2 linked regions of the Neodiprion lecontei genome follow. The protein of the gene in region 1 binds, or shares a complex with, the protein of each later gene. Links are inferred from orthologs where the notes say so. Each region holds a gene or a part of one and is shown on either strand. Other genes may lie near its edges. The genes, in order: methylcrotonoyl-CoA carboxylase subunit alpha, mitochondrial; methylcrotonoyl-CoA carboxylase beta chain, mitochondrial.

What was found.
Region 2: the proteins of methylcrotonoyl-CoA carboxylase subunit alpha, mitochondrial (region 1) and methylcrotonoyl-CoA carboxylase beta chain, mitochondrial are in contact, whole or in part, in a cryo-EM structure (PDB 8JXM), measured with the Homo sapiens proteins. The link is inferred for Neodiprion lecontei from reciprocal best matches to the Homo sapiens genes MCCC1 and MCCC2. Residues at the interface, in NP_064551.3 of Homo sapiens: Glu519, Phe526, His531, Asp532, Phe534, Ser535, Pro536, Phe537, Ser538, Ser539, Ser540, Ser541, Gly542, Arg543, Arg544, Leu545, Asn546, Ile547, Tyr549, Thr550, Arg551, Tyr568, Tyr636, Leu637, Ser641, Glu644; in NP_071415.1 of Homo sapiens: Leu56, His57, Val60, Glu61, Lys64, Asp88, Ile91, Pro93, Gly94, Ser95, Pro96, Phe97, Leu98, Glu99, Gln102, Ile123, Gly124, Arg125, Gly128, Glu130, Arg234, Trp276, Leu278, His281, His282, His285, Lys298, Lys299, Leu300, Ile304.

The regions. Positions count from the first base shown.
Region 1 is NC_060264.1:23,299,004-23,314,479, reverse strand, and holds methylcrotonoyl-CoA carboxylase subunit alpha, mitochondrial, read right to left. Parts: upstream 9,691-15,476; 5' UTR 9,555-9,690; exon of another isoform or gene 9,517-9,554; intron 9,464-9,516; 5' UTR 9,196-9,463; coding exon 9,152-9,195; intron 9,068-9,151; coding exon 8,992-9,067; intron 8,866-8,991; coding exon 8,481-8,865; intron 8,412-8,480; coding exon 8,077-8,411; intron 7,984-8,076; coding exon 7,687-7,983; intron 7,625-7,686; coding exon 7,415-7,624; intron 7,346-7,414; coding exon 6,866-7,345; intron 6,764-6,865; coding exon 6,572-6,763; intron 6,491-6,571; coding exon 6,377-6,490; 3' UTR 6,184-6,376; downstream 1-6,183. Other genes in the region: inactive ubiquitin carboxyl-terminal hydrolase MINDY-4B, read right to left, coding at 936-981, 1,088-1,240, 1,316-1,518, 1,604-1,754, 1,948-2,018, 2,091-2,156, 2,323-2,563, 2,647-2,876 and 2 more; transmembrane protein 43 homolog, read left to right, coding at 10,366-10,440, 11,399-11,581, 11,734-11,966, 12,119-12,419, 12,501-12,706, 12,792-13,074; arfGAP with SH3 domain, ANK repeat and PH domain-containing protein, read left to right, coding at 14,301-14,426.
Region 2 is NC_060263.1:16,140,638-16,156,122, reverse strand, and holds methylcrotonoyl-CoA carboxylase beta chain, mitochondrial, read right to left. Parts: upstream 9,487-15,485; 5' UTR 9,321-9,486; coding exon 9,207-9,320; intron 8,855-9,206; coding exon 8,601-8,854; intron 8,372-8,600; coding exon 7,955-8,371; intron 7,785-7,954; coding exon 7,369-7,784; intron 7,287-7,368; coding exon 7,152-7,286; intron 7,076-7,151; coding exon 6,939-7,075; intron 6,847-6,938; coding exon 6,761-6,846; intron 6,663-6,760; coding exon 6,545-6,662; 3' UTR 5,719-6,544; downstream 1-5,718. Other genes in the region: uncharacterized protein LOC107224007, read left to right, coding at 1,287-1,528. UniProt on the Homo sapiens protein: Carboxyltransferase subunit of the 3-methylcrotonyl-CoA carboxylase, an enzyme that catalyzes the conversion of 3-methylcrotonyl-CoA to 3-methylglutaconyl-CoA, a critical step for leucine and isovaleric acid catabolism.

The sequences.
Region 1 (15,476 bases):
ATCTTCTATTCTTATTAAAGTAAGCTTTGTTCCGTACGTGCGATCCTTCCAATTATCATTATTTACCGAGTCATTGTCTCGACTCCTGAATACCTTAGATTTGTGGGAAGTGTGTTGTTGGGGTGTATAACATATTATAGAGTCGAGTAAAAGAAAACTATGCGCGAATTCACCCTCTGCCTACATGCGAGTGCAAAGATAGCGTGACGACGAACGTTTCTAGGGCGAGAGGATGGATGAACCCATTCGGTGTTTGCGCACAGATATATCTATACCTAAATATATATACCGTTTGTACAATCATCGCGTCGATCGAATAACGAATGATGAAATAATTATTAGACGCGACACGTAAGACGACGCGTAAAGTAAAGTATGAGATAAATACGGGTGAGGCGTTTTTAAAAATTGCTTCAAGCCCGGAATTTTAGAAATTCTATATTCTCTTTATTATTTCAAGTTGAAATTTAATTCAGGATGTAGCTCAATTGTCTATTTCGTCTCTCTCAAGTTTCTCCATTTGATGCGCATGGGTTACATGCCTCTAACGTTACCTAGGATATATGCATACGTAGATTTACGTAGACACCTGGCACCTAGATTCATTTCTGCTTACAAATCGAATGTATAGTAAACTATTAAATTATACATAACAAAGCCATGTCATAGGCGTAGGATCGATTTGCCGAAGTTCTGTTGTTCACAGAATTTTCATTACGTACAGCATTTACCAAAATAAACCATACATATATATTTACATCATTTAACACAGTAATTGCTAATTTACAACTAGAACATGGTTTAGTACAATGAAATTTACATTTAAAGAAACATCGTTACCGTTTATATGCGTGCATGCATAGGTATACTACATATATTATATTCAAGACGATACGTATCTGTCTTTTGTCGCTGCGTCTACGCAATTATAATATCTATAAAACCGGGCTGCCGTTCCATTGAATCTGTGCGTCTTGCCACCTGCGGAGAAGATCGAAATTAAGATATACCTACGTCTTAATGAGATAAGATATCTGCATGAAAGATATAAATTTAAGACGTAGATATAGCATCTCATTATACAAACTTGGTGTGAATCAGCTTCTCCAAGGGAGTCGAGGCGACGTCGACCAGTTGATCGTCCCTGGCAGCGTTGTCCGCTGACGAGTCTTCGCTGGCTCTCGTGTCGACCGTCAGGGTGGCGTGGCTTCCACCGCATGTGTAATATTGAATCTCGAACCTAGAACGGGGATAGATCCGGGATTAACGCGTTGGTCTCACGACTTTCCCCCTTGCGCTGCAGATCGTATCTCACCTCCGCTCGGCGTGGTAATTTCTGAGAAGTTCACGGTTCATGTTGAAAAGTACGCCGTAGTGGCCCTGGCAAAGGGTCAGCCAGATCGGCAGGCTCGGAGTCTTGAGTCGGGAACCGGGCTGCTTGTCGGCGTCTGCACCGTCACCCTCGTGCACCAGGATACCGACCTCGCTCCTCGCCAGGACGCCCCATCTCGGCACGGCCTTGACAGAGGACGAAGGTGTGTGAGACACGCTGCGACGAACCTGGTTTTACGTTATTTGTCAATATCAAAGGGCTCCTCCTCACGTAGGTGTTCTCGTCACCGACGTAAAGCACCCCGTTGTGGAGGTGCGGCGAACACCTTCCGGTTAACAGCAGCGTCGCGACGCTCATCGGTCCCTCTTCCGGCGACCCGCCGAGCATCGAGGTTCTTTGGTCTTCGAAGTCGGTCCGCACTCTACGAGAATTTCGTCATTCAGAGGGTCGGTCGCTTTCCTTTCGTTAGATTTCTTTATATTACACGTATCTCCTTAGGGTCTTGTCATATTCTCATTATAGTATATATTAATTTTGCATAACGCGCACTCTAGACGATACGTGTAATTTGTGTACAGGAACACGCATGCGACTACGTGTATACGTATCCTCACTTGGCAAGTCCTCGAGACAGCACGGCGCTGTAGAGGAGAATTATCGCTCCGGGTCCACCTTCGTCGTGAAACTAAATCGACACCAAAATATAATACGGGTACTCCTCTCGAGTGTTTCGCAAAGGGAATTACGAACGACTTACCAGGTAAAGGTACCTCTTGACAAATATCTGGAGGTCTTCAAGAGAATGGAATTCGTAGAGATGTAGCTGTACCGATTTTCACCATATATTATTAACAGAAAATAAGATTCGTTAGTCGCCATTACTCGAGATCACCGTGCTGTAGGTTTTTTTTTTTCTTATTCTTTTGTATTCGAGTTCGAAAATTCGAGAAGATAAAAAAATCCGACTACTGTACGCGTAAACACCATACCGTTTCGGTAATCCCGTCCTGAAAGTATTGCACGCTATGCTGAACGTAGGGCGTCTCCTGTGGCAGAACAACAACGGCCTTGGGCACAAAGACGCCGGAGGACGCGCCGCCTGTAGAAGCGAGATTGACAGCAGTCGCGGCGTTGCTGGGCTTGGCGTCGCCGCCTCCACACCTCCATATAACTTCAGCGATCGACAAGCTCAGGACTTCGACTTGCCGCTCGTGGTTCGGCTTCAGTAGACTGCAACAGAAGCCAAATTTCTATGCTATTATATCGGATTCATTCCCGGGCAATCATTAATACTGTTGTTATACTGCGCTCACGCTTCCGGGGATGCTGGTCTCGCGAAACTGGTGACAATCTTGTTAGTCCTGAAGAGAAAGTGCTTCAGCATCACTGCCTGTACCGCTGTGACCAAACTCCGAGTCGAGTTCCTCGCCGCCCTCAAACCGAAGGCAAGACTTTGCCCCCCTGGCCTCAGGGTCAAACCTGTCCTAGTCCATTCGCTCCTTGGCGGACTGGCGCAGGAGCCGAAAACCAACTGCCGTAATGCCTGCATTGCAGAAAAACCCGAGAATAATCTGCTATACGTTAGTTGGGTAGGTGTTCGGTGTTACGTTGTACATCATACCCACCGTGCACGTCTCCTCGCTTATCGGGGTTCCTCCGATCACCGGCACCTTAGCCAGGGTCTTGGTGCTTCTCGGATACAACACCCGCTCTGAAAATGAGGAAAAGAAGGCTCGTGAAGCAGCTAGTGAAACCGAGTAATTAAAAACTGGCGATAAAACCCAGACCTGCTAGCTGTAGCTCGTCGGGCTCGGACATCAGCTCGGCGCACCTCGCGGTGCGGGTGAATAGCAGCATGTTTCCAATACTAGCAAACGAGGTGAATGTGTACCTGCAGGATATTCGTAGGTGCAGGCCGCATGCCTGAATAATCGTGAAAAAAATCCGAGCGCGTATTTGCTTCACTCCGTAAGAATCGTTCCGGCCGGATTAGAGATACCGCCGCGATTGTAATCGGAGTGGAGGATGGTCGTGGTTTTATACCAACCGAACATCATCGCGAGACGTCAAAAATTCCGCGGTATCCGATGCGCCTGCACACCGATGTCTTGGCTCCGTTTCCCTCCCCCTACTCCTGCTCATATATCTGCAGACAAAGTTGGTTTCTCGCAATGTCAGTTCGCCAGGGTTTTCCGACATGACCCACTAACATCTTCCCGAACCATCGTTATGCGATACACTGTTGTAACCAATTATATAGCCATAGGCACGTGCAACGGGAGTTTCTTCAACGTGCAAAACATTCCCTCTCGCGTTCGAATTTCAGCAAAACTTTCGCGCGCTGCGATAGCTTCATACCTAAAATACCCTAATCGGTTGACCGATCCACTGTTGCATATGGGATTAAAGTCGATCCTCGCGAGTCCCGTAGCGTGTTAGCCGACGGTCATAAATCAGAATCTGATCGAACGATGCGGTAATGCATGTAGAACTGTTCGTTGGAACTTACCGCCTGCGCTCGATGAGATTGTTCGAAAATTCGACGGTAAAGGATCTTATCGCGAAGACCCATCGCCGGGTACAAGCTATTTTTGGATCATATCGCAGCGCACCTCATACGTTCGTGCAAATAGCATTGCCTATAGCTCGCCAAGGCCTTTTAAACACTTTTTTATACGACATAAGCGATCTCTGCTGAATTTCACGTAAGCTGAAACACGGCGATTTATCTACTCAGAATTACCGCGCAGCTCGTACTGCAGAGGCAACCAATTTATACCTAACAACCAGAAATTAGTGACAAGATAGCAAAACGGTTTATAACATATTCTCACGCTCGAATTATTTTCCATTCTTTATTACAGGAATAATCGGTTATTCCCTAGGGAGACGACACAGTCGCTTGTCGCGCAGCCAAGCGTCATAAACACCAGACGGCATTGTTTATCACCTCCCACTGACGGCACGTGCTGTTTAAATTATCATACGTACACCTGCTCAATTGCAAATTATATTTTGTTGCAAGAAAGGGCCGTATTCACGGTATAGCATTCGCGATTTGCACCTACCTCTGTCTCTGAGGTAAGTTGGCTTCTCCGTGTTGACGTCTCGTTGCTGCATAAGACGCACCGCTGCGATTCTTTCGGGGATTCCCCGGCTTTCGATACGCTGTACTCGTTGACTCGTCGTCTGTCGATCTCCACTCATGCCTGTTCGACAGGACATGTAACTATAAAAATTGCCCAGGTATTGTGTAGGTATGTTCGGGTCCAATGGCTATAATTGTTCGATACATTGTCTATAGAGAGAAGGTGACTACGAAGTTACACTTGTGTACGTGATATTCGATTTAATGAGTGAAATCGGCAAAAAGAAGACTAATTCCTAAAGTTGTTGAAATAAACTCCCCGCAATTTAAAGTGTCTTCCTCTTCCTTGTACAACCGACCCCATTCCGTCAGGTATAACATACACCGACATACACACGATTTAATCCCGAAAAGTTGCGAAATTACAAATAGATAAAGTTATATGCATGAGTCAAACTATCACGCGAATCACTGAATATACGTATGTTTATGTATATAATGCTACATCCTACCGGATACGGGTTATTATTGTAAGTAGACGTGTATCGGTGAACGTAGTACGTGTAATAAATGGTCGGTGTGACTTTTGATTAAGAATTGAACCTGCTGCGGTGACTGCAGAGTCAGTGGAATTTTCACCTCAGCGTTTTTCCCTCCGTCCCGCAAGACAATAACGAAGTTTCAGGGGCTCCGTTACTCGGGACGTGCAGGTCGTCCGCACCGACGAGCAGGGCGCAGAATTGTTGACTGACAGGCAGCCGCTACGCTGGTTGTGCTCCTCGGATGGGGGTAGTGTAAGGCGGTAATTGTTACCACCTACCCTAAACACTCCGAAATTTTCAACCCGCCTCTCCTCGCACACCTCGACACCCTGTTGTCAGTGTGTGGGTGTGTGAATAGGTGGGAACGAAGAAGCGTCGACCCTTCGTTCCATCAGTCGATTCCAATAAGTTTTCAGGCTCACAATCAATCCGCGTTGCAACTCTGATCGATAGGTATATCTAGCCTTATTCCACCGAACCGTATATCGCGAAAGATATTTATGAGAATGGCGATGTTGAGTGAACACGTTGATGAGAATTTGTTTCGCGTTTCGCATATTTTCTGCGAACGTTATTATTAAACTCCTTAACCGCCGCTTTCGAAATTCTCTTTGGATTTCATGGCACGCTCGCCCGGCTGAACTGCCCCTGAAACTTTTGGTATACCTTACACCTATCCTACAGTCATATACTCTCATTGGCCGAGGAAGAAAGTTGTTCTAAGTTTGCGAGAGAACGTGCCGGGGGTTTCGCGCCGCTGGAGATCTATTTCGTGGTATTTCGCGGCACGCTATCGGGTTCATGCCTGTACTCTGTATACAACCGTGTTCGTTAATACATCCCGGTAATAGAGAGGGAACTAGTGCCAGGTGCGAAATACAATAGTCGGGAATGGTCTCTGTGTGCACTACACGACACGTTGATGTATGTACATACGTGCGTATGTACACCGGCAAAAACTAACGTAAGTCTAGTGTAAATAGATGCGTGTGATACTATGATGCATCGAACACACGGACCCGCCAGTCCACCTTAACCCGCTAAAGAAATGATCGATTACGTTGAGCGATCGTTAATTACGTGCCACGAAGTCGCCCCGAGATTGATTACCCCCGCAAATAACTTTTACAGTTTTTCGGCATACGACCAAGATATATAAGGAGAAGGGGAGATATGAACTAGACAGGTTCCGTCGTATATAGCTACGGACATACAATCGATTCTTTGCGTATGAGGAGTATTATGTACATTTATTCGTTAAAAATATCTAGCATTGTAAACAACCATTAACAAATCCAGAGAACTGGCCTTATGGGTATTATAAAAAATTAAAAATTAGTTAAAAAAGGAAGATTCGACGATTCCAATCGTATCAAGTATCATTAAACTTTCCGCCCTGTACGGCAACAGAAGCTAGACTGATTCCTCCTCCTTCATCCTAACGAGAAGTTTATTCTTGGCAACATTCTCGCCAGCAGTGCAAAGGACCTCCTCGACAAGTCCGTCGCAGGCGGCCTTGATCGCGTGCTGAGGCGAAAAAAAATAATGCGTGTTATAAAGTTTCAAGAGCTCTCGAAGAGAAAGAAAAGCAAATCGTGGCATACTCACCTCCATTTTCATGGCAACGATCACCAGGAGAGGATCGCCCTTTTTAACAATATCACCTCGCTGAACGAAAATCTTGTCGACGACACCGGGCATTGGGCTCATCGCAGAACCAACCGCTCGCTGCTGACCGCTGATCGACGATACAGCGGTGACGAACTTCGGCGGCGGTATCGTCAGCTGCCACTTGCGCTCCTTTGAAACAAAATTCACGTGTTCATTTTCATCTTTTGCCAATGGGGCTTCACTGTAGATGTAGGGAACAATACTGAAAATTAAATATAGAATATTACGTACGTTCGTAAATAAATAAAGCTCTCCATTGTTATTAACGATCCTAGCGCGGGTTATTACGCCGTCGATTTCCGATAATAATTCGAGAACATTGTTCCTTCTTATCAACGAACCGCTCACGTTTCTCCAGGGGCCCGTATCATTCGTTCTCATGTTAAACACACCTGGTCGAAGGTACCTTGCGTTAACCACAAATTCCTTATCTTTGAAGAGAAATTGAAATTTACGCTCAAGCGCGTGGTTCAGTCTGAGGCCGACGTTTGTTGCGAACGGGGTAAAGCTAGCATCGTTCAAGGAGGGCAAACTCTCTTCTAGGATCATGGCTAATGCTCCTTGGGTCAGTATCTCGTTGGTGATTTCGATTTTCGGAAAAAGAGTTGCGTGGTTCTCCTCTATAAAGCCGGTGTGAACATCACCGCTGGCAAATTTCGGATGGCTAGCGAGGTCCATGATGAATTGCACGTTTGTTTCCACGCCGACGATCTACAATAAACATCGCAATGTATTTTTAAACGTTTTTCCCCCGCTTAGGCGCGGACAAACATTACTCACATTGTATTCCGCGAGTTTCGCTCCGAGTTTCCCGATCGCCTCGCTCCTGTCCTTCCCCCAAACGACCAGTTTCGCTATCATCGGATCGTAGTGCACGGAAACCTGATCACCCTGCCGCACCCCCGTCTCGACTCGGACGTCAGCCGACATCTCCGGGGTCGTTAGATGTAACAGGGGACCGGCACCAGGTAGAAACCCGTTATTCGGATCCTGTAACGCAGGATTCACTAGTCATTCGCGAGGTATTGCGAAATACAACGATGAAAACCAACCTCGGCGTATATTCTCGCCTCGAAAGCGTGTCCCGCCAACTTTATCTCTTCCTGAGTAAGCGGCAACTTCTCTCCGGCAGCCACTGTGAGCTGCCACTCGACGAGGTCAGTGCCGGTAATTGCTTCGGTAACGGGATGCTCAACCTGGAGCCGCGTGTTCATCTCCATGAAATGAAAACTGTGAGTGTAACGATCGAGAATAAATTCCACTGTCCCGGCTCCCACGTATTTAACGGCCTTTGCCGCCCGGACGGCGGCTGCACCTAGCTCCGACCGCAACTCGGGCGAAATTCCCGGCTGTAAGTTTTGAAAAATTGCAGAAAATAACGTTGATTATCAGGATCACGTGGTAATGTATAAATATACATTATACATGTAGCATTAACAAACCGCGGGGGCCTCCTCAATGATTTTTTGATGTCTCCTTTGAACCGAACAGTCTCTTTCGAACAGGTGGACAGCGTTTCCGTGCTGATCAGCGAATACCTGAACTTCGACGTGCCGGGGTTCGGAAACATATTTCTCTAACAACACGGCCGAGTCGCCGAACGATTTTGCCGATTCGGTTCGAGCCGCCTCCAATGCCGTGAAAAAATCTCCTTCTTCAAAAGCTATGCGCATTCCTTTGCCTCCACCTCCTCGCACCGCCTTAATCATCAGTGGAAAACCGACAAGTCTTGCCTCTGCCATCAATCTGTCGTTGGATTGATCCTCTCCGTGATAACCTGCGTAGAGAGAATATTTTTTTTTCTTATGACGAAAATAGGACCGCCGCAGGTAGCGGAGTTACGGACCTGGAACTACAGGTACGCCGGCCGCGGCCATAATGGCCTTGGAGGTGTTCTTTATCCCCATGTCCCTGATCGCGCTCGCCGGGGGCCCGATGAAGGTGATCCCCTCGCTCTGACAGAGCTCGGCGAATTCAGTATTCTCCGATAAAAATCCATAGCCGGGGTGTATCGCCTGGGACTTGGACTTCTTGGCAGCCTCAATTATACTATCCTGCTTCAGGTAACTTTCGGTCGAAGCCGCGGGTCCAATGTTGTAGGCCTCGTCAGCCAAACGGACGTGCATGGCCTCCTGGTCCGCGTCGCTGTATACCGCCACCGTTTTTACCCCAAGTTTACGAGCGGTTCTTGCAATTCGGCAAGCGATTTCGCCGCGATTTGCGATGAGGATCTGCGCGCGGGAAATAAAATCGCTCAGAATTAGCTGCGTTTTATAATTTCATCAGAGATTTGCTAAAATTTGATATCTAAATTATGCATTGTACATATTATACGTATAGATATTGTGTGCATATACCTTCCCAAGCCTTTTTCCATTGTGTACGGTCGATAATGAAAATTCCCGATCGATCCACGAGGTTATATGCCAGGGCCTGTAAATATAGCACGATCAAGACACATGCATGTGTAGACGAATATATTTGATCTTATCTTATCGACAAACGGGTACTCCTTACGTTTTATGAACAGGCCAGACCGACCGCAGCAACAGGGTGTACATGACTTGGTGATAGCTGTAAATTCTCGTATTAAAAAATGCGTTTTTCCTTGGTCAATTTTCGGTGTAAGGTGGACGCAATTTTTACCAACCACTCAATCAAGACGATTTCTTATCAAACCATTTCTTTTTTGCTGACACGTACAAACGGTCTCGTAATAGCGTCGTCATGAATATTGAGATAAGATAATGAGTTGCGTCAACAAAGCCATGTATTCCGTAAGCTGTTTTTAACTTATGCAGCCACATCGTTCAGGGACGTATAGAGTGACTGTGAATCGTTTTAAGAGTTAATTCTTATCATCGAATTCTTCTGCTTAATGAAAGCTTACTTTTAATTATTTTAGTTTGTTGTGATATACCAAAGAAAATCCTGAAGCTTTTTCTCTTGAGCAACATTTACAGCTTGGTGATAAGACAAGCTCATAACCTGTTTGGTTCGTAGTCACAGACTTGTATGTCCGACTCCTCAGAACTATCAATCTCATAGATTTCATCCTTTTTGCTCTGAAAATCTAGTTCGAGAACTTCATCGTCATCCCCTGAGCACACATCAATCTCGGATTCGTCGTCCCGTTCGGCCACATTTGCTCTCTTCACTTTCACATAATGCTCTGTCTGACTACTGCTATACCTAACAAAACTATTTGACTCTAACGTTACATATGTATTCTCCCTAACATGAGATAGTCCGATTCCTTCTTGATTGAGTATTGGCACAGGTAACGGGGGTAATGATATTTCCAACGGATGTTCGGTTCCGGTAGGAGCTCGACTATCTCTAGAGCTTAGAAAGAGTCTGAGAGACGTTAACAGCTGTGTTCGAAAGGCCATGAACGCTTCCAGCTTGTCATTGCATTCTGTGCACAATCTTCTGGGGAGTCCGTCAGTATGTGAAACCTGTGATCGATCGTCAGCCCATTTTAGAATCAAAAATTGAAGGCCAACCATACAGTTATTGGAAAAAGTTTCATGCAGACTTTTGGTGCTAGCATGTCGATTTTCTGACCCCAAAAAGTTAACCATAGGTACTGATTAGTTCTTCATATTTTTCACACGTTTCTATTAAAGCACTCTGGTGAATCGTTGCCTCAGTGTTATAGCAATTACTCACAGCCATCCCAGTGATTAGCTCGATGCCAGTCCTGATGTTGTTTCCCCTGAGACTTGACGATGCCTCTTCAGCGAATACATCGAATCCCGCGTTCTCAACAGCTAATTGTTTGGCACAGCCTCGGCACAATGGAGGTGACTGTTTGAAAAACATTCGAGTAAACGGATTAGCGATGCCGAAATTGGGACAAGCGTCCTAACATATGCTGTAAATTAAGCGTCAGTTTTTCGCCGCTCGATTGTATTCTTACCATTTCTAACCCCTAAGACTTAGAAGAAGTTATCAGAGAATTCCAGAGCAATAAAAATCTCCGCCTCCGAGTACATGAACATTTATCAACTATCGTGACTGTGAAAGGTTTCGTGACGAGGCGACCGCAGTTCAGGCCAGTTCAGTGACATTGTCATTTGTATTTCCGAATTGTAAGTCTTAACCTCGCTTTTCTATTTTCATTTCATTTTCTTTCCGCTTTGTGCTAAAATTGCAGAAATTGTTAAGGAAATTGAGGATTTGTGGCGGCATCAGTCGTTCCCTCGTCGTTTTATGTTTACTCATCGAGCTTATACGGTAAGGGCAATATGGGGCCTGAGTCTGATTTATATTTCACGTACAACCGTGTATTTCACTCATGAGAATTTTCCGTCAAGTGAAAAACAAGTCAAAATCAGGGTCCAGTAACTCTACCTCTGTCGCCCTGCGTCCGTGATTGGTTGAGAAAGCACGCTAAGCCAATCACGGCGCAGAGCGAGAGAGACAATATACCGGTATTTCCTTTACACGGTCACGCATGCGAAAATGGGGATGCTACCTCCATGTATAGATGGGTTTACCCAGAGTATCCGGCAGTCGCCTGTTGGAGAATGTTTTTTTAAGTTGATGTCCCAGATTACATGAACACCGTGTTGTTGTACGTGAATACAAACGCCGAGTCAGGCGTAGTTTATGGTGATTGTTGTCACAGGTGGGATGTATCGGACAAACGTAAGTTCGCGTGTCATCCGACCGGCCTCAACCTTGTTTATTCTCTGTAGAATTTAACCTAACTTAACCTAACGTAATCCTAATTTTCACATTGTTTGGACTTCGTTTCAGAATGGGCAGCCTCGTAGAGGCAATGTTGATAACGCATACCGCGATAGATCGGCCGGTTTCAAACAAGCTGGACCCACTCACACACCGATGACCGTTGCCGAACAGTTCAAGGAATCTTGGCTGACCGCCATTATTGGGTCAGTTCTATTCGCAGCTGGGATGTGCCTGCTATTTTGGAACGAGGTATTGCACTAGACTTTGACTGACACATTGTTCGACGGCTGTACCAAAGACCTTTGCAATTATGAAATCCCCATTGGCCTAGCTTGTTATAGGAACAGTCTGCTTTCAGAGAACATGCAATTCCCTGTTTACTCCTTGCTGCTTGTCCTTAGGGCCGTGCGGTTAGAACAGCACATTCGCTGAATGAGGCGCTGCGTAACATTGTGCCGCTGTCCAGTGTGAACCATGTGCTACCTGAGCATCAGCACAGACTTGTTCATTTTTCGGGGCCACTGAGAGTGCTTGAACCGCTCACTGAACCTGATTATGGAATCGTTATGGCCAGCGTAAAGCTGAAGAGAAGGGTACAGATGTATCAATGGATCGAAATTGAAGAGGAACGTAGGTGAGGTAAATCTTGAATTGTACTTCATCTGTTTCGTTTCATACTGTTTTCTCACGGTTTGAAATTTTTACTTTACTACAATCTACAACTTCTATCACCCAGTTAGAAATAAACTGATTCATTTCCATTGTGTCCGATTTCACCCTGTGCAGTTTTGGAGGTGTTACCGAAGATGAAAAGCACTACTATTATACGACAGAATGGAAGGACAAGCTTGTGGATTCAGATTCATTCGATATCAGAACTGGTCACCATAATCCCAAAATCATGCCTGTGCGGAGTCAGATACAAATTGCCAATGAGGTTAAGATTGGAGCCTTGACTCTTGGTGAAGAGTTAAAAAAGAAATTCAATCACTTTGTTGAGATTACTAGCGATGAGAGGCCGGAGCGTAGAGACATCAAATTGCACTCTGGCCTCTACTATCACAGTAATGACTTATGGAATCCTCAGGTTTGAAATCACTGCTTTCCGTTATTACAGCTCTTGCATTATTTCTACTTCTACTAATCCTTTCTAATTATCATCAATCAGGTCGGAGATATCAGAATACAATTTTCGTACGCTGGCAAGGGCGATGACATCTATTCAATTATCGGCATGCAGGTAGATGGAACTATCGTTCCCTATACGACCTCGCATGGCGAAGAAATCTTAATACAAAGAAAGGACGTGATATCCGTGGATCAGATGTTTCACCTAGAACATGTGCACAACTATTGGCGCACCTGGGCTATAAGGTTGGACTGGCAAATTTGTCTGAAAATGATAAACGCTCTGGTACGATAATTACGACTTACTGAGTCATGATTTCATCACTTGCAGAGGTCTGGGTTGGCTAGTGCTGTTTCTCGCTGCTACATGTTTGGCAAACATAATACGCACGCTCGTCTTGAATTCAACATTTTTATGCGGCGTGATTGCTATTGAATCTGTAAACATATCTGTCTCCATGTCCATCAGTTTATTGGTCATTGGTTTTGCCTGGGTATGGTACAGACCCATTGTCGGCTTGTGTCTGGCGCTGGCTTCCGTCGTACCATTTCTCTATTCAACCATCTTCTCGGAAAATCGGGGTCAACAACGAGACAACTATCGAAGACTATGACTGCAAACGCACGCTGTCTATGTGTCAAAAACATTCCATCATTCGCTGTCTACCCTCTATGCGTTTAAAGATCTGCATGCTACACATGCATGCATGATACACCTGCGCAAATGTTTATGGTATTGAGTCTAGTCACATCATTCAACATTTTTATTTTCCAGGTAATAATTATTCCTTCTCGGAGTTGTTTATAATATCTTTTGTTCATTACAAACTTGACTTATTTAGTAGGAAGTAAAAAATTTCAATTCTGAGTATGTGAGCTGTAAATACAATCTCGCCAATCTACATAACTTTTAATAAAGACATTTTGATTGAAAACTTAACATGTAGATTAAACAAATCGATACATTAGATCAATGGCTCAATTTGTGACATATTTTTTGATGACTAATATCCCCCTATTTTCCTTTGAATCCCATTTTTTCAGGCCGACCACATGCCATTTACAATAAACAGAGCCAATCTTGTGGAAGTTGGCGCGCCAGAAAAATTCAACAGTGCATGCATTCTGCAGTACCGGCATGGTCAACTGACACATCGATACGGGCATAGTTTGGGATAGAGGTAGAAATCTTGTTGCCGGCCGAGTCGGATTTGCGCGCGTGAAACACCGTAGGTGGCAGGGCAATCTAGAAAAAGATTGGGTACAGTAATTCGCGCAAGGAACACTGGGTAGGGTAAAAGTAGTGCGGCAGTTATGGCCGCCGATTGGAGGTGGTAGGCGGCACTGCGGCAGCGAAGAGAGGAGGAATCAGTAACAATAAACCCAAGGTACGTGCATCGTTGCTGTCGCTCGCTATAAGGTCCAGGGCTGCCCAGACAGCGCATGTATAGAGCCCTGGCTAAAAAAGATGCGTCCGCGGTAGAGTCGGTGGTGATTCGCAAGTGAGTCGAAGTGTCATGCTCGCCCTTAGACGGGAGCGGCTATAGAAAGCGCAATCATTGCCGAACGACGCGCAGCTGAGGAAAGAAAATGAACGGCCCCGATCAGATTCAGGGGTTAAGTTGTCCGCCCGATTCGCGATACAGAGACGTCAGTGAGTGTATGTGAAGTGAGCAGTGCGTGTGACGATCTGACAGTTTCTCGACTTTCGCGACCTGTCGTGGAGTCAACGTAGTTGGCTGTGTTTTCGGATTTTTCCTAATCGCAGACGCGAAGAGTGTCCGTTTCGGTGCCGCCGGCCTGGTAAAGCGTCGCGACGACGACATCGCACGCGCCAAATATGCCAGGGCTCATTGCGGTCGGCGAGTTCGTCGAGGAGACCAAGGAGGACTACAACTCCCCGACCACCTCCACCTTCGTCTCGCGTATGCCTCAGTGCAGGCAGACCATCACATCGCTGGAGGAAGTAAGTTCTCATCGTTTTTATCTGTCCTCTTAATTTTATTGTCGTCGTGATGTATGCCTTTATTCTCATACACACACCGAAATGCGCACATGATTATACCGATCTTAATTCGTCCTCTGCCGCTTCCTCTTGACATCCGTTACCAGTCCACTCGTTGGACGATCATTAATCATTCGTCGCTTTGCTTCGCCTGCTCGCGCAGTACATACATTAGCAAATATCTATCACGTAAGTACGGTCATTATTATTTCACACCGATGCATTTACCCGCCCCCACTGTCACTGCTGTATTCACGTACATATCCGTCATAGGTTATTCTCAACCCACGATATCGATATCCGTGCCCACACATGTGCATGAGACAGTTGAGAATTAAGGCCGTACTTGCATTCATGTGTGTGCAGGGTAAGTAAAATGCACGGTTGCACGTTAGCGGCAGGGGGGAGAGGAAGGGTAGATACGGCACGACTGCCAGATACACATCTAGCTATACGATGCAACGATATTCTACCTCTGAGACTTTTCTCAATTGTCTTTGATATCTATCAAATAATGAAATAACAACACATGTAAACGGCGGAGTATGTTTGCAATATTTTTGGTTGCTGTTAAAGCAGGTATCGCTAGGCATGGTTGTACGGTGTGCGGAACCCAGCGACGTGTGATGATAACAACTAATCGCACGTGTGCTGATTTTAAAGCAGACACCGCGGTAATAGCCTTCTGCTATTTATTGTCAGTATTAAGAAGGGTGCTATGATGTCATCTTTGTTAGCAGGAAATGCCGGGGCGGCTCCCTTCGATGTTAGATTCTCCGTGCTTGCGTTGAACGGTTAGCTCTTCTCCCTCTTTCCTATATGACTATCCCCCCCCCCCAAGCAGCGGCAGCAGCCCTTCGGGTCGAACGAGTTCTTCTGTCTCGCTGGGTATTCATACGTACGTATAGGCAGGCATAAGTAATTGGCGAAGAACGTGCCGAGGGCTAAACCTCCGGTGGAACCCCTCATCCATTTTCCCGTGCCTTTCTAACCACGAAAGAGATGATGTAT
Region 2 (15,485 bases), on another chromosome or scaffold:
TTTAAATATGTGTGTATCGGACACTTCGAAATAAAGAAAATCAGTCAGGTCTCAGATATTTTTTTAGTTTTACGAACAGTTAGTTATTGGGGAGCGAAATTTTTGTGCCAATGGGCTTGACCTTTTTACAAAATATCGATCGAAATATTTGAAATCGAGAGTTTGTACAAGATTTAGCTTAAAAATGCGATAATATTCGTTTCAAAATAACGACATTAATTCTGATCTCATACGCTATTACACTCAAAACTTTTCGAGAAATCAATTGAAAAGTTGTATAAAGATGTATTCCTAAAATTTTGCCCAGTTATTATTATCTTCATCTGCCAGATGATATTGAAAAATTAAAAACCGATATTTATACGTAACGCAATTTTGAAATCCAAAATATGAAACTGAGACTCGACTGATTTTCTCCTTTTGGAATGTCCCGTATATGAATGTACAATTAAGACGAAGTAAAGAACAATGATACAAGCAATAAGAAAACTAATCATAGAAAAATAATGAAAGGAAGCAACAACATGTAGGTATAAATACATATTAATAACATCAGGCATACGCTTGTACGATACCGATCACGTATATCTGCCTTTGAGGTCCGTAGCACATATGCTTGATATACACGTATATTATATTATACACTACCAGATTCTATCTATTTGGCAGTGGATCTTCGTTTTTTTCTTCGCGGATTGTCTAACTGGCATCAAATGTAATAAAACGAACCTCCCAAAGACGCGCAAAAAATGAATAAAAAAAAAAAAAAAACACCCCGAGGGTATAATGTCAGAGCACCAAACAAGTTATAGTGAGTATATCGGCTGAGCGGCAATAATGACTAATGAGGTACTAAATTTCGAACGGCGTATAGGTATACACATGTATACGGTACAGATCGACATATATACATCATGTCTATCGTAATGCGGTCTATCATTATTATAATTATAGTCACCGCCGAGAATTCATTACACCGATCGTTCCAAAACTTGATTCATTTATACGCATATATATATAATATATATATATATATTACGAGTACCGTTAATAATCCCGAACTACATGACCTTTTTTTAATGATCTTATCAACGCGAGACAAGAATATTTTTACGTATATTTTAGCCATGGATATTCCTCGTATAACGTATGAGAAATAAAATACGATATTGCTTTGAAATAGATTTGAAGAGAAATCGAAGGGAATAAAAAAAAAACGGTCGCACGTACCGTACTGAAAAATTGTTTTCTTATTAATCGTGCCGTAATTTTTGTTTCTCTTACAGCATTGCTGGCGTTTGTTTTGAAAGGTAACAACGTTACCGCCTCCGAAGAAACAGCGGAAAGGCCCGGATCGGCGGAATCGGCTGCAGCTGTACATCCAAAAAACGAGATTCGCGAACAGTATAAATACAAGGTTGTGGAAATGGAGACTGTGGCGACGGTGAACGCCGCTTTCTCAATTACCGCGACGGGATATTTGAAATTAGCTAGTATTTTACTCGTCGTATTCTATACATTAATCTGATCAATTCGCGGGAGTAGCTGTCATAAACGATAAATATAAGGAGAAGATCCCCGAAACGATAAAATGTTTCACGTGAAGCGTAAGAGGAAAAAATTTAAGCGGAAATTAGACAGAACAAATTGAACATTCTAATTGAAAAAGTAAAAAAGAAAATCCCGAATCATAACGATATTCTGCCGTACGCGTAGAATTTATCTGTTTACGGTATTTAATATTCTTATCTTTTTTTAATCAAGTTCTACTAATTGCAAATTTCCTGCGCGTTCAAATAATAATAACAATAATAATAATAATAATAACAGTAATAACAATTACCGACGCGTCATGGAAACTTTTTTTTTTTCATTACAGCGCGCACTGCAATTTAATGCATCCTATATATTTTACGATTTTTTTATTTCCATCTTATACTCTGCGTACAGACGTTTTTATACACTCTTTATTATTGAACATTATATTTTTTTACGAAGGAAACGAAAGAATGAAACCGCGCGCGAGTCTTTCTTGGAATCAAAATTTGATTTGTCCCACGCTTTCTCGATGCAAGATAAATGAATTTTGAAGACAAATTTTTTTTTCTTCTAAATCGGTATGCATTTATTCATATGCACTTGGACTAGATCGATTTTTACATTGAGAGATTATTAAATTACGCATACGGTACGTTTTCAAAAATCGAATAGCGGATGTTTCTAAAATTTCGGAATTAATAGCGTAGTAGAGAAAAAAGGAAAGTTAAACGATATGTAATTAACGAAAGATAGAAACAAAATATTTCATCGTCAACCGTGGGACAATTTCATGTGATACTAATATATTATTATACTTATATACAATATAAATATATATTTAATTAATTAATAATTTCGTTTTACATAATAACGATACGTATAAATAATAACAATTGAATACTTACAATACCGAACCTATTAAAGCTCATTAATGAAATCCTCGTGCAGCTAAACAACTGCTACTAACAATAGGCCAGAGAGAAAGTGAAATAATAATAATAATAATGACAATGATAATAATAATAATAATGACAATGATAATAATAATATTGATAATAATAATAATAATAATAATGATGATGATAATAACGAGGTAGGATCGTGCATTGTTATCATTATTTTCCCAATAAGAATCGATAATATTGATGTGTTAAATTCACAAACTGTAATACGTAATTGAAAGTAATTTCTTTAAAATATCAGGATAGTAAAAGTCCGTCGTCTCTGATTGTATAAACGACGGTATGTGTATAAGTTAATAAACGCGCATTAATAATATGTAGGTAACGCAACACAATACAGAAACGAAGCGCAACGAATAAATAGCGGTATATTAACAACGATCGTTTTGAGTGTATACCTGTATAAGTTTATACAAATCGCGATACCGAATATTTATTATGTCGAATAAAAAAAATATTTATTCGATAATTATTGTTGTACAGGGTATGCCCAAATTTAGAAAGACAAATAATTGAAAAAACAAAATGAATGACTTATGAAATGCGCGATCATGGAGAAGTAAGAATAATAATTATTATTCTTATAAAAAAAAAAAAAAAGAAATAATTATCCGATATATTGTTGTTGTATGAAATACAACGACGACAATATAATATATATATATAATTTCTCCGTTATGTAACTGCCAATTGATTGTTTCCTAAGGGTATTATATACGTAATGATAAGAAAAAATTAGAATCGAATAATAATGAAAATGAAAATTAAACTGTGTAATGTAACTACTCGTATAGTTATAGATAGCTAGGTATATGGGAAATGACATGTCTGAAATGACAATATTAATAATAATAACAATAAAAACTATAAAAGGGATAAAACTGGCTTTTGCAAACGGAGAATTTTGAAGGAATAGCCAAACAGCTAGTCGTAGAACGACGAAGAGTTGAAGCTACATAATATTACGCCGTGAAACTATATGAACACGGAGCTAACCAACGTACTATATACAATAATAATATCATTTAGTACGTATCATCGATTAGTGATACGTCTATATAATTATTACATATCAGATGTAAAAAATAACAAGTTGCTTCAATAAAAATCAACAGTAAGATGTATTCGTATATACCGAGAGTTCTATAAATGACCTGCTCAACGATTCCAACTCGCCTTATTTGTTTATAGGCGTAATCAACTTTGTAAAAATATTACCAACGTAGTAGACGAAGTGACCGATGCGTAGTGAACATGAACTTATATTACAGAAACAGACTGCGCGGTCTGTGAATCAAGCTGAAGCCTTAATTAGAAAGAGGGAGCACAGCTGAAACCGGACCTTTCTGTTGCACGATTGAAAGAGTGGGGAGCAGCCGCCAGGCGGGGAAAGCAATAAGGCAAGCGGGGAGGTGTACTTATAATAGTCTACGTGTTTCCCCCGCCAAGTCACCGATTAGAGTGAGAGATCCGACTCCAGCTGTTGCCCTCTCTTTCTAATTACGGCTTCAGCTCGGTGCACAGACCGTGGAGTCTATCTCTGCAAGTCTATGCCTCTATTTCTGTTTCTACCGGCGGCCATTTTGAAATTCAACCTTATTGTGTCCACGGACTTAATTATGTCTATTTACGCTATCTATCCATTTCCGCAGTCATAGGAACTTAATTAATTTAAAATAAAAACACATTAATGAACCCAGAGGAGAGCAGAATCGATTATCTGCGAATAGTAGAGGGTCGAACGAGAAATACCTGACGAGACACTCCAGCTCGAGACTCAGGTCCCACGGAATCCACTATCTGTGAAGAAGTGAAAAATGATGTAGCGAAAACCACTAAATTCTGATATCAGATGCTAGTTTTAATTAGAGTCCCTCTGTACGCAATAATACGAATCACATTATAGCTTGTGCACTCACGACAAAGTTACAAGGAAGAACCTTTGAATCGCCATCTGTTTGTCAGAAGTCGAAGTATATTTGGGAGCCAGCCCGTGCATTTCTGCCCAGGTTGCGGCAGCATGCGTCGTACCCAATTCTGCCGTAAAGTGCTGCCGAACACGGTCTTGCATGATCGGATGCTACAGGAAATGCTACCTAAATATTTCAGATAAAACTGGACTCAGAGAACGTTCGAGACCGATTGTAACTTAAATTTTGGTTACAAGTGAACCCACTTGGCGAAGACCGAATCGACAGGCTGGGCGACTCGCACGTTTCAACGATCACGTTATGAGAATTACCCCACGTAATTAAATACACTTCCATTTCTGATCTGCTAACTTTCCGCTATTTGGAACCGACAAACTCACAACACACACAAACACACGATTACTTCCGTACCGCACAAGATTGGGATTCGACCATTGGCATCAAATCGCCAAAATGGCGGAACGATCGCTCACCAATTGTTTTTCCCGGAAGGGTAGCTTATTTATTAACATGAGTTTAGCTGACAAGCCATCAATATAATATAATATAATTAATGAAATCGTTTGCAGTTCGTCTTTAGATGATTGTAGTCCAGTTAGAATTGTTTGATAGTGAACTAATTTTTTTAAAGAAAATAATTAAAAACTCTACATATATCTAACCGATATGTATAACGTTCAATATTTTCAATAAATTCATGTAGAATTTTTTACTATTTTTTTTATTTTTTTTTAAATTGGTTCACTCTCAAGCAATTGTAACTGCACTACAATTATCTAGAGACGAACTGTAAACGAAGTTCATTAATTATATTATATCGATGGTTTGTCGGCTAAACTCATATTAATAGCTTATCCCGCCAAAAATTGATTCAAACTTTACACGAGCGCTATCTTGACGCGATAATAATTACTAATTGATTGACTGCCGCGCGTATCGGTATTTCAGGTATTATCAACAAAATTATTCGAAATGCGGAAAATTTCAGTCAGACTTTTCAAACAGAAGAGTGCGGAAAAGCATATTAAAAAATTAGATAATTGAATAGTTTTTTCCTACCCTTGCTTTTTGAAAGACATAAAAATAAAATACACATGTTTGACTAATGTTGAGATGAAATTAAACGTATTATAAATAATGAATAAATGTAATTTATAATTGTTTTTTCTTCAATATTTAAATGAGTCACTGAATATTAATTGAACACATAACTGAGCGGATGTTCAAACTGGAAGTACCTTGCTCAGGATTGCCCAGTGACCAACCCTATTGAAAGAATTATGAAATAATTCAGCAAATAATTTATTACATGATTATTACATGAAAAATACTAGATCATATACATATAGTGTTACATCTGTGGTTTTGCGAGAGCCGATAGTTCTTGCAACCTCAGTGTGAATAGTCTAGGTCCTTGATTGAAAGAATTTAAATTGATAAGAAATAAAAGGAACTCCTCTTTTAATAGGGGAGAAAGGTTGCAGGTTATGCCCACACAAAATACCCTGTTTAAGGGGGGGCCTTTGTCAATTTCGAAGTTAACGTATAAATCTCTAAATATCAAATTCCATGTACCTCAAAAGCGACAAAGGACTTAACAGCCCCATTGTATACGCAACTTTAAACAAAGGCACTCAAGTATGTTTTCATTCGATGCAGGAATAAAGAAATGGTATAGATTTTACGAAATGGCAATATAGTGAAACTTCTCTTAACGGACACCTCCCAATAATGAATTCCTCTTTACAACGGATAGGCTAAAAATTTCCAGTAACACAATTTAAACGTTGATGTTGTTCTGAATAACGGATACTCCTCAATAACTGACAAAATTTTCAGCCCCGAAGTTGTCCGCTATTATGAAGTTTCACTGTAGTAAATTCGTAGAATTCATGCCATTTCTTTATTTTATTTTCATACATACATAAAAGCATTTACTCTTGTAAATATACGTATCTCTTATTTCCTTACCCCAACTGCCGATTCTTTGGAAAAATATGTCTATGTTACATGATTCCTGTCGAAGGCTATAGATCCATACATGTTATAAACGTATAAAAAAACTTTTCACAATTAAAATAATTGACAGTAAGTACATCGTTCCGCGTCGATTTACATTCGGAAAACGCCGAAGGTGCTGTCTAAAATCGGCGTATTTAATGCTGCTGCCAAACTCAATGCCAGTACCGCGCGAGTATCAACTGGATCAATCACTCCGTCATCCCAGAGTCTAATTAGAAATAAACATGGAGTTAATTACATTGACTAAAGTTCAGTAAGCTCGAACAATTTTGGTCTCATTCTTAGAGAAACTAATTGAAAATTAACCTGGCGCTGGAATAGTAGGGATTGCCTTCAGCCTCAAACTGTTCAATTATCGGATTCTTTAACTTGTCTTCCTCCTCTTGGGTCCACTGAAAAAAAGCCAATGTAAATGTGATGTCCTTTAGAAACACAAGACCAAGAAAAATTGAAAACAAACTTGTGAACCAAATTATACACTAACTTGCTTTCCCTCTCGAACTCGCTGATTTTTTGTAATTTGAACCAAAACTCCAGCTGCCTGTTCTCCGCCCATTACAGATATCCTAGCATTAGGCCAGGAATACATAAACCTTGGAGCAAAAGCCCGACCGCACATACCTAAAATTACAGTTTTCTTTTTAGTTTTAGATTCTTTAGTTTTAGATTTATCCACAAACGAAAAAGAACAGCTTACCATAATTTCCAGCACCGTACGATCCTCCTATGATCAAGGTGATCTTGGGAACTTGAGCACATGCCACTGCAGTTACCATTTTCGCACCGTTTTTGGCTATGCCGCCGGATTCGGCGTCTTTTCCGACCATAAAACCTACGCAATGCGATATAACAAAAGCAAAAAAGTGAACCTTTTGAATTAAAATTGAATAAACATAGGTACTCTGAACACGTACCAGTAATATTCTGGAGAAATATCAGGGGTATCTTTCTCTGCGCGCACAGCTGCACAAAATGAGCACCTTTAAGTGCGCTTTCAGAGAACAGTATACCATTGTTAGCAACAATTCCTATTGGGCAGCCATGCAGTCTGGCAAACCCGGTGACCAAAGTTTCTCCATACTGTTCCTTGAATTCGTCAAACTCTGAGCCATCAACTATCCGCGCTATAACTTCCCTAACGTCGTAAGGTCGCTTCAAATTAGCTCCAACGATACCATAGATTTCCTCAGCTGGGTAAAGAGGTGCGGAAGTATCCTTCTCAATCGGGATAGTTGAACATTTTTGACGATTCAAATTCTTCACCATGCGTCGAGCCAAGTACAAAGCGTGAGGATCGTCAATTGCATAGTGGTCAGTAACCCCAGAAGTTCTGAAAACAATTGTCAAGCTATATTAATAACATGCAGTACGGTATTTAATTCTATGACAAGCGACAAATAGTTTTTCCATCATACAAAGACACGTTCATTTCGATGTAGATCTCATCAATGTTTTACAAGAAGAATTACGCCTATGTTACAAAACCTTTCTCAATCATACCGACAGTGCAGATCTGCTCCTCCCAGATTTTCTGCGGTAACGTCTTCCCCAGTTGAGGCTTTGACGAGTGGAGGTCCTGCCAAGAAAATAGTGCCATTTTTGCTGATTATATTCTCATCGGACATGGCAGGGATGTAGGCTCCGCCGGCAGTGCAGCTTCCCATTACAACTGCGATTTGAGCTATACCACGAGCGCTCATGTTAGCTTGGTTGTAAAAGAATCTACCAAAGTGATCCCTGTCTGGAAATACCTCCGCCTGATGCGGCAAGTTCGCCCCTCCACTGTCCACCAAGTAGATACATGGCAACTCGTTGTCTTGTGCTATTTCCTGGGCACGCAAATGCTTCTTCACAGTTATCGGATAGTATGAACCACCCTTGACCGTCGCATCATTCGCAATTATAACACAGTTTCGTCTGCAACAAGACCACGATAGAATTTTCCAAATTTTGTACATATTCAATTATTTTCATTCAGGTGTGTGAATTCTCCAAGATGGAAAGGTGTAACTTATGAGTAACAAAATTAAAAAATTTAAATCTAGTAGATTAATTGGTATTGTAAATTGAAAAATTTAAATTATTGCAAAGCTTGAGACAATCTCGAAGCAGTTTTACGCAAGCTAAGAAAGGAGTATGAGTTTACCCTTCTATTTTTCCAATTCCTGTGATAAGTCCACCCGCTGGGACTTCGTCTTTTCCATACATTTGATAACCGGCCAGCTGGGATAGTTCTAGAAATGCGGAATCCTTATCGAGGAGAGTGTCGATCCTTTCCCTCGGCAACAATTTCCCAAGCTTAACATGACGGGATCTTGCCTTTTCGCCTCCGCCTTGAACTACTTTTTCTACAGTGGCCCGCAGCTGATCAACAAGGATTTTCATCTGGCTGTAGTTTTCCTGTAATTTTGAAATTGGCGTTAAATGCCACCTAGTTGTAGACAACGTTCAAGGATTTATTTCATTATTTGAGATCCAATTTGTTAAGAATCGGTTACATATGTCAATGATAATCCTTATGAAGTTTGAAAAAGTGACAACCGGTTTTTGATAATATTAACTAAATAATAAATTAAAACTCTCTTGTACGAAGAGTTCAGAACGTTGGACTTAAATTCGAACAGTACAAATAAGATATTCAAATCAGAGGTGAGTTGCGAAAGCTTGGTAGATAACAGTCACGTTATGCATAATGCCGGGTAAACATATATAATTTACGATACCGAACGAACGCTGATGTTCAATCACTGACCTGATACACCGGGGAACTGGTGTCTTGTTCGCTGCCAATAATCGACGCCTCATTGTGATATTTTCTTGACAAAAATCTCAAGCGCGTGACGATACAGCTATTTTTACGGAACATTTGTTTTTTCTTAGCGCAATGACTTACGTTACTCGACCAAATGTCCGCCACACACTGATATTCGTCGCTCGTCGTTTCTTTTTACGCATTCTTATCATTATCAGTCAAATGACGCGGTTCACTTGTATGTTGCAATTCCCGGATGGTAGGTGACGTTCGTTTGAATTCCTCAAAATTAGTTCCGTGTTTCTCCACTGTGGATTAGAGACACGACCGCTGTTCTAGAGAGATTCGTTTCGTTGTTTTTCATCTGTTTTTTAGTTTTCTTGCTATTGTAACATCCGACCGGAACGTCCGTATGTTTTATCGACTATTATTACTGCATGTTACTTTTATCAACTAACCAAACTCGAAGTACGAGAATCTTGTAACCATAAGGAATTAAAACAACTGTCCAACTATTTGGAATATCCCTAGATGGAAATAACTATGACATTCACTAACCAAAGCTCAAAAACCATGTTACGAGATCTTCGCACTACAAAGAGCTATAATATTATTATACGTTATTACATATCACTATCATATTAACACCATAATTAACTAACACGATTATATCCAATTATTATATAGCACTCGACAATGCCATTTGTGCATTCGGAGCTGAGAGCTATACTATAAGCGACTTACGCTATACCATATAACCTGGAGTACGGAAGATTGTAAAACCATAGATAAATGTATAACCAATATAATGTAAAGATAGCACTGCTGCAATAATCCATAAAACCAGAGACTGCAAAACCTTCAAAACCGTGAATACTAATTATCCAGCATGAACTGTACCTTCCTCCGTAACGCCGTATTGTAGGCAACACGCGCAACGTTTTGAAGGCAATGCAGATCTCCAATGTGGAGCCATACAGAGCTTCATCTAGAGAACACATTAGGAAACTTACCGACGAAACGATTGAAGGTAAATCAACTCGCAATAAACTCAAAGATGCATACGTGGCAACGCCCAATGACAGGCAACCAACAAACATAAGAAAAACGTTCTAGAAGCTTCCAAGCCGATTTATATCAATATAAGAATTAATAATTACAGAAGAGAATTATATACGAAAGCACACATGTAAACCTGCTCTAAAACTATGGATTATCAAATTGTTAAATACCCTAAATTTGTTAAGATAATTATAACACAAACACCTAAGAATATTCGCAGCAGCGCGATTCTAATAATGTTAAGCAAACAGCAACTATGTCTCATAAACAATCGCTATTATAATCCAGGTGAATAACGACAGTAATCAATTATAATACATATGTAATTTCATATAGATACACGCTATAAAACTAACAAACGACGAGTAACCAATATGACATATAGACTTTGTAACGAACAGGATAGTAAGAATATTAGGAAGTAAACAGGAACTAGAATTAAGCGCATCGTGAGCCCGGAAATTCACACGGCACTAACATAAAACATGAGTCACCACTAGCGCATCCGCACTGCGATTACCATATTAGGAAATAGCTGCCGAAAGCACGAGACGGCGGGAAGAAGCACAGTAGCCGAGGGGCCAAGGGGGGCTTGCGCCCCAACAACAAAGTCCACGCAGAATGGAAAATTACAGAACAACGACCCCGCATCTACACCACCGCACCGGTGCAGCGTTATACCATATGTCAAAACTTGCAATATAGTAATAGCTAATGAACTAAGATCACAGGCGTGCATGCGGCGAAGATGTCGTGTCCTGATTAGAATTCCTAGAAAAAGAGGGAGGTGCGCAAAAGGTGACAAAATCTAAAGAAGGGGATCGTTCTGCGCAACGATCGACCCCTATAAAAACGGCGACCGATCATCCGATCGTCCACTTGGTTTCTACGACCAGATTCGTCATCTTGTTCCGGTACAGTCTCGCGGTAAAATTGTGCTATTCTCCCTATATGCAACCGATGTCAACAATGTCGTTAAGCACTGCTCGATCGTTAAATATGCAGACGATCTGCAAATATTTGCTCATTGCTCTCCCGGTCGAATTGACGAATGCGTCGCTCGTATTAATGAGGATATTGCTCGAATCTGTGGCTGGGCAGATCAAAACCTTTTGCGCTTGAATCCGGCCAAAACGCAAGCGATGCTCTTAGGTTCGGCTCGAATTATTAACACGCTGCGACCAGCCCAGCTTCCAGAAATAAATGTGCAGGGTTCTCACATCCCGTTTGTCGATGTCATTGAAAACTTAGGCATTACAATCACGCCATCTCTCAACTGGCGAGATCAAGTCACAAGCATTTTAAACCGCGTATATAAAACGCTGTACCAACTGAAGGCTAATAATGGTCAGGCACTCACTTATAGTCTAAGACGGCTTCTCGTATCGGCGCTGATTTTTCCAATATTTGACTATTGCTCACTCCTCCTGTTGGACATTACGGTTGATGAAGATATCCGCCTACAACGAGCTCTTAATGCCTGCGTTCGCTTCGTTTTTAACGTGCGCAAATGCGAACATATTACGCCCTACTATGAGCAACTTAAATGGCTTAAGGTCCCCCAACGCCGGCACTATTTCCTCGGTCTTTTTGTGTTCCGCGCCCTGAAGTTGGGTGTTCCTCCATGCTTCGCGGCCCAATTGAAACTACGCTCCGTCGAATCCACGCGGGCTCAGCCGTCCCGAGCACCCCCCTCCGACCTCGCCGTACCGTCATGCAGGACTTCGGCATACCAGAAATCTACGTTGGTCTCGGCCACTAGATTCTGGAATTCTCTCCCTCCCGCTATACGTGACGCAACGTCAATCGGAACCTTTAAGGCTCTGGTTTTTGAGCATATCATTCAAGCTCATTAGCTTTCTTTTCTTTTTTCTTTTCCGTTCTTTTCTGTTCTTTTCTTTTATTTCCTTTCTCAGTTTTCTTTTTTTTTACTTACTTACTTAACTTACTCGCTTATACATTAGATTTAAGTTAATTTTTAAGTACATTAGATTTAAGTTTATTTTTTAAGTTTAAAATTTTGTATTTCTTTGTTATTGGGCTATTAATTTATACTGTTGGGTTCGCTACCCTAGTGTAATAAAATTCGTTCTATTCTATTCTATTCTATTCTGAAATCCTTTTGCCTTTTGCATTTAAACTTTTCATACAACGTTACTCTGCCCAAAAGTCCAGCTAGCTTTCAGCTCCATTTTGTCATATTAATTTAAGATCTTACACTAAGTAACTCCGTTTTTGTGACTTGAAATATTGAACTTATAAAATAAATCCAAGTTAATCAAAGTATCCGAATATATTAGAATCAGTTATTCCGTTAAATGCTCTCACCAATCTACGCTACAAGTCATCATATCCAGAGTATTCTCAAGAGGTAAGCCAATTAATTAAATCTTTTATCCAATAATTACTCCTTCCTCGGTTCGTTAGATTAGAGCGACAGAATGCCCGTTGTCCGGTGTATTTCAATACTTTATCGGTAATTGGTGACCCAAACTACTGATGTGAGTCTGACTGTAGCTGTGTGAATGATTCCGGTGTCTAATATCTGGAAATTTCCACCAGGTACCGTTCCGACGTCACATATAAAATTTTTTGGTGCATCGGCCGCGAAACCAAACGTTATAATCGCGAAAAAACTTTTGTGACGCGAGTAGCGATCGACGGACGGCGGAAATTTTTGCGCACTACCGACACGAACTGAAAATCATCCTAATCTCGCTCGATTTAATAAAATAACTCAACAAACCTAAATTTTAATACCCGTTAACTCGCCAAAATTCTAAAAATCAATGAGTCAGTCAAGAATTTTTCCATCCGCTCTGGAAATTTTCCATTCAAATATTTCTTCAATATCGCACCTACTGGGATCTTGTATCACTGAGATCCCTCGTTTTTATCGAAATACTCTGTCGAACCAAGATTCCAACCTTTAATCGAAACCCCTGACGAATACCCTTTGTTCTCATAACGAATGCTCCCAAAATCGAACGAAATAAACGGAGGAAAACGCGAAACCGTAGTGAAGCTTTGGGAACAATATACTCAGCCGATTATATTAAACGATCCGCACGAAATCCCGGACTCTGTAAAGGAGCCTTATCTCAATAAACCGCAGAATTCTAACCATACCATCGGAACTTCTGAAGATATTTGCTATTACACGGGAGATACAGAAGAACGAATAGAAGAAAGAAATAAGCTGTTCGAGCCCCCAACGCGACCCAGAACGATTAGCGAAGAAGACGCAAAGATTAGGAAAAAGGCAAAAATTATTTCTGAATACCTCCCGTTCAAACTTCCAACGATTTCTACCTCCTTTTCCTCCGACACGGAATCTAAAAGTTAAAATAAACCTTATTAACAAAAATTCAAACTCAGTCATCACATACGCATCGGTTATTGATCGGGGAACCCATAAAATAAGGAGAATTTTTCAGAACATCACAGCACCCCAACTCGTTATCCATATCCATAAAAACGAGTCAAAAATATTTTTTTTTATTACTCTCAAGCTCCCCGCTATCAAACCTGTCCTGTCTCTCTCCCATCTCAGCAGTCCCCGGAATTGTCGCTATTATACGAATCCCGAACAATTAATCCCCAGTTCCAACCCAGTTATAAGCAAATAAATCCGGTTGTGCAATCCCAACATTAAATGGGAAAGGAAGACCCTCCTATCGATAAAAAACGCCCAGCCGTAGTACATACTCCGCCTTCAGACCGACGACTCAGATCACAAGTTAGTACGCAGGGCACCCAATTATTTGAAGGACAATTAGAAAATTTAGAGGAGACGAACGCGTCGGGAAACTCAAGTCTAACTCCCGAACAGTCACGAATCTCCAACGAAAATTCTAATCCAACGAATAAAAATTCTCCGAAGAACTCGAGAAAAACAGAAAAACCCACTCAAATACTTATTCAAACGCCTGATTCGGAAAACCAATCCCAAACACATATCAAGATTCCTCAGGAATTTAAAATGGTAAGCGAACCCGTTGCAAGTACAGGCGCAACCGCCTCACCCGCACCGACTTATCATTATATCTCAATTAAGGATGCCTTAGAGGCAGTCACGGTGTTTGACGGCAATCCGTCCCAGGTTAGAAGTTTTGTGCAGGGATGCAAGGATGCACGCGAAATGGTTCCGCCTCAAGTCGAATTAAGCCTCGCGCGAATAATACGTAATAAAATCAAGGGAGTAGCTCCACGTGTGATCGAGAACGAACGGTTCGATACCGTAGACGAATTAACCGCGCGAATAAATGAGCTTTATGGACCAGCCAAATCCGTTAATCTGTGTCAGGGTGAACTACGGAAAATTTTCCAAAGACAGAATGAAGACGTCGCGACGTACGCATCAAGGGTACGCGAAGCGATGGAAAATACAAGATAGGCATTCTTGCAAGAGCAACGTAAAGATGATTTCGAAATTTTTACGCGAAATACCGAAGCGGACGGCAAAGCCGCTTTTCTGCGCGGATTAAGACCCGAAATCGACGGAAAAATCCCCACAGTACCCGGTACTCTAAAAGAACTGGTCGACGCAGCGATGAAAATAGAAAAACAGGAGAAAATTAAAATCCAACTTAGACGAGGAGATCAACCTAGCACAATTCAAGACGCTACGATAAATTATACGATGTTTCAACCATATAATTGCGTTGTATGTGGAGCAAACGACCACGATAAATACGATTGCTAATATAATTCAGATAAAAGCTATTACGATCACCGTAAACCTCGGAATCAAATTTATGTTATCCAAGGTAATCGAGCAGACTATCGGAATAATTATAATTCAAGAGATGCTTATTCGGATCCTCGACGTAACTCGAACACCTACCAACTGCAAAATAATACTAACTCGAGAAATCAATTTCCGAAACATCAAAATCGTCAAATAAATTACCAACCGCAACCCGGTTACGATTCAAGAGAAAATCGTCCCAATCGATAACAGGGACCTCCGAATTTTAGTAACCAAGACAATTACAGTAATCGGAGGTCGAACTCCCCTAATCAACAAGGTTATCCTAGAAATAATCAATATCGCGAAAATCGCTATCAAGGGAACTATCAATACCACGGAAACGTTTATCCCAACAATAACTCGTACCGTGAAAGAACTTATTCAAGGGACCCTAGCCCGCAGAGGTCACAATCCAATTTCAGACAGGGAAATCAGCGTCCAAATCAGTACGACGATAATCAAAT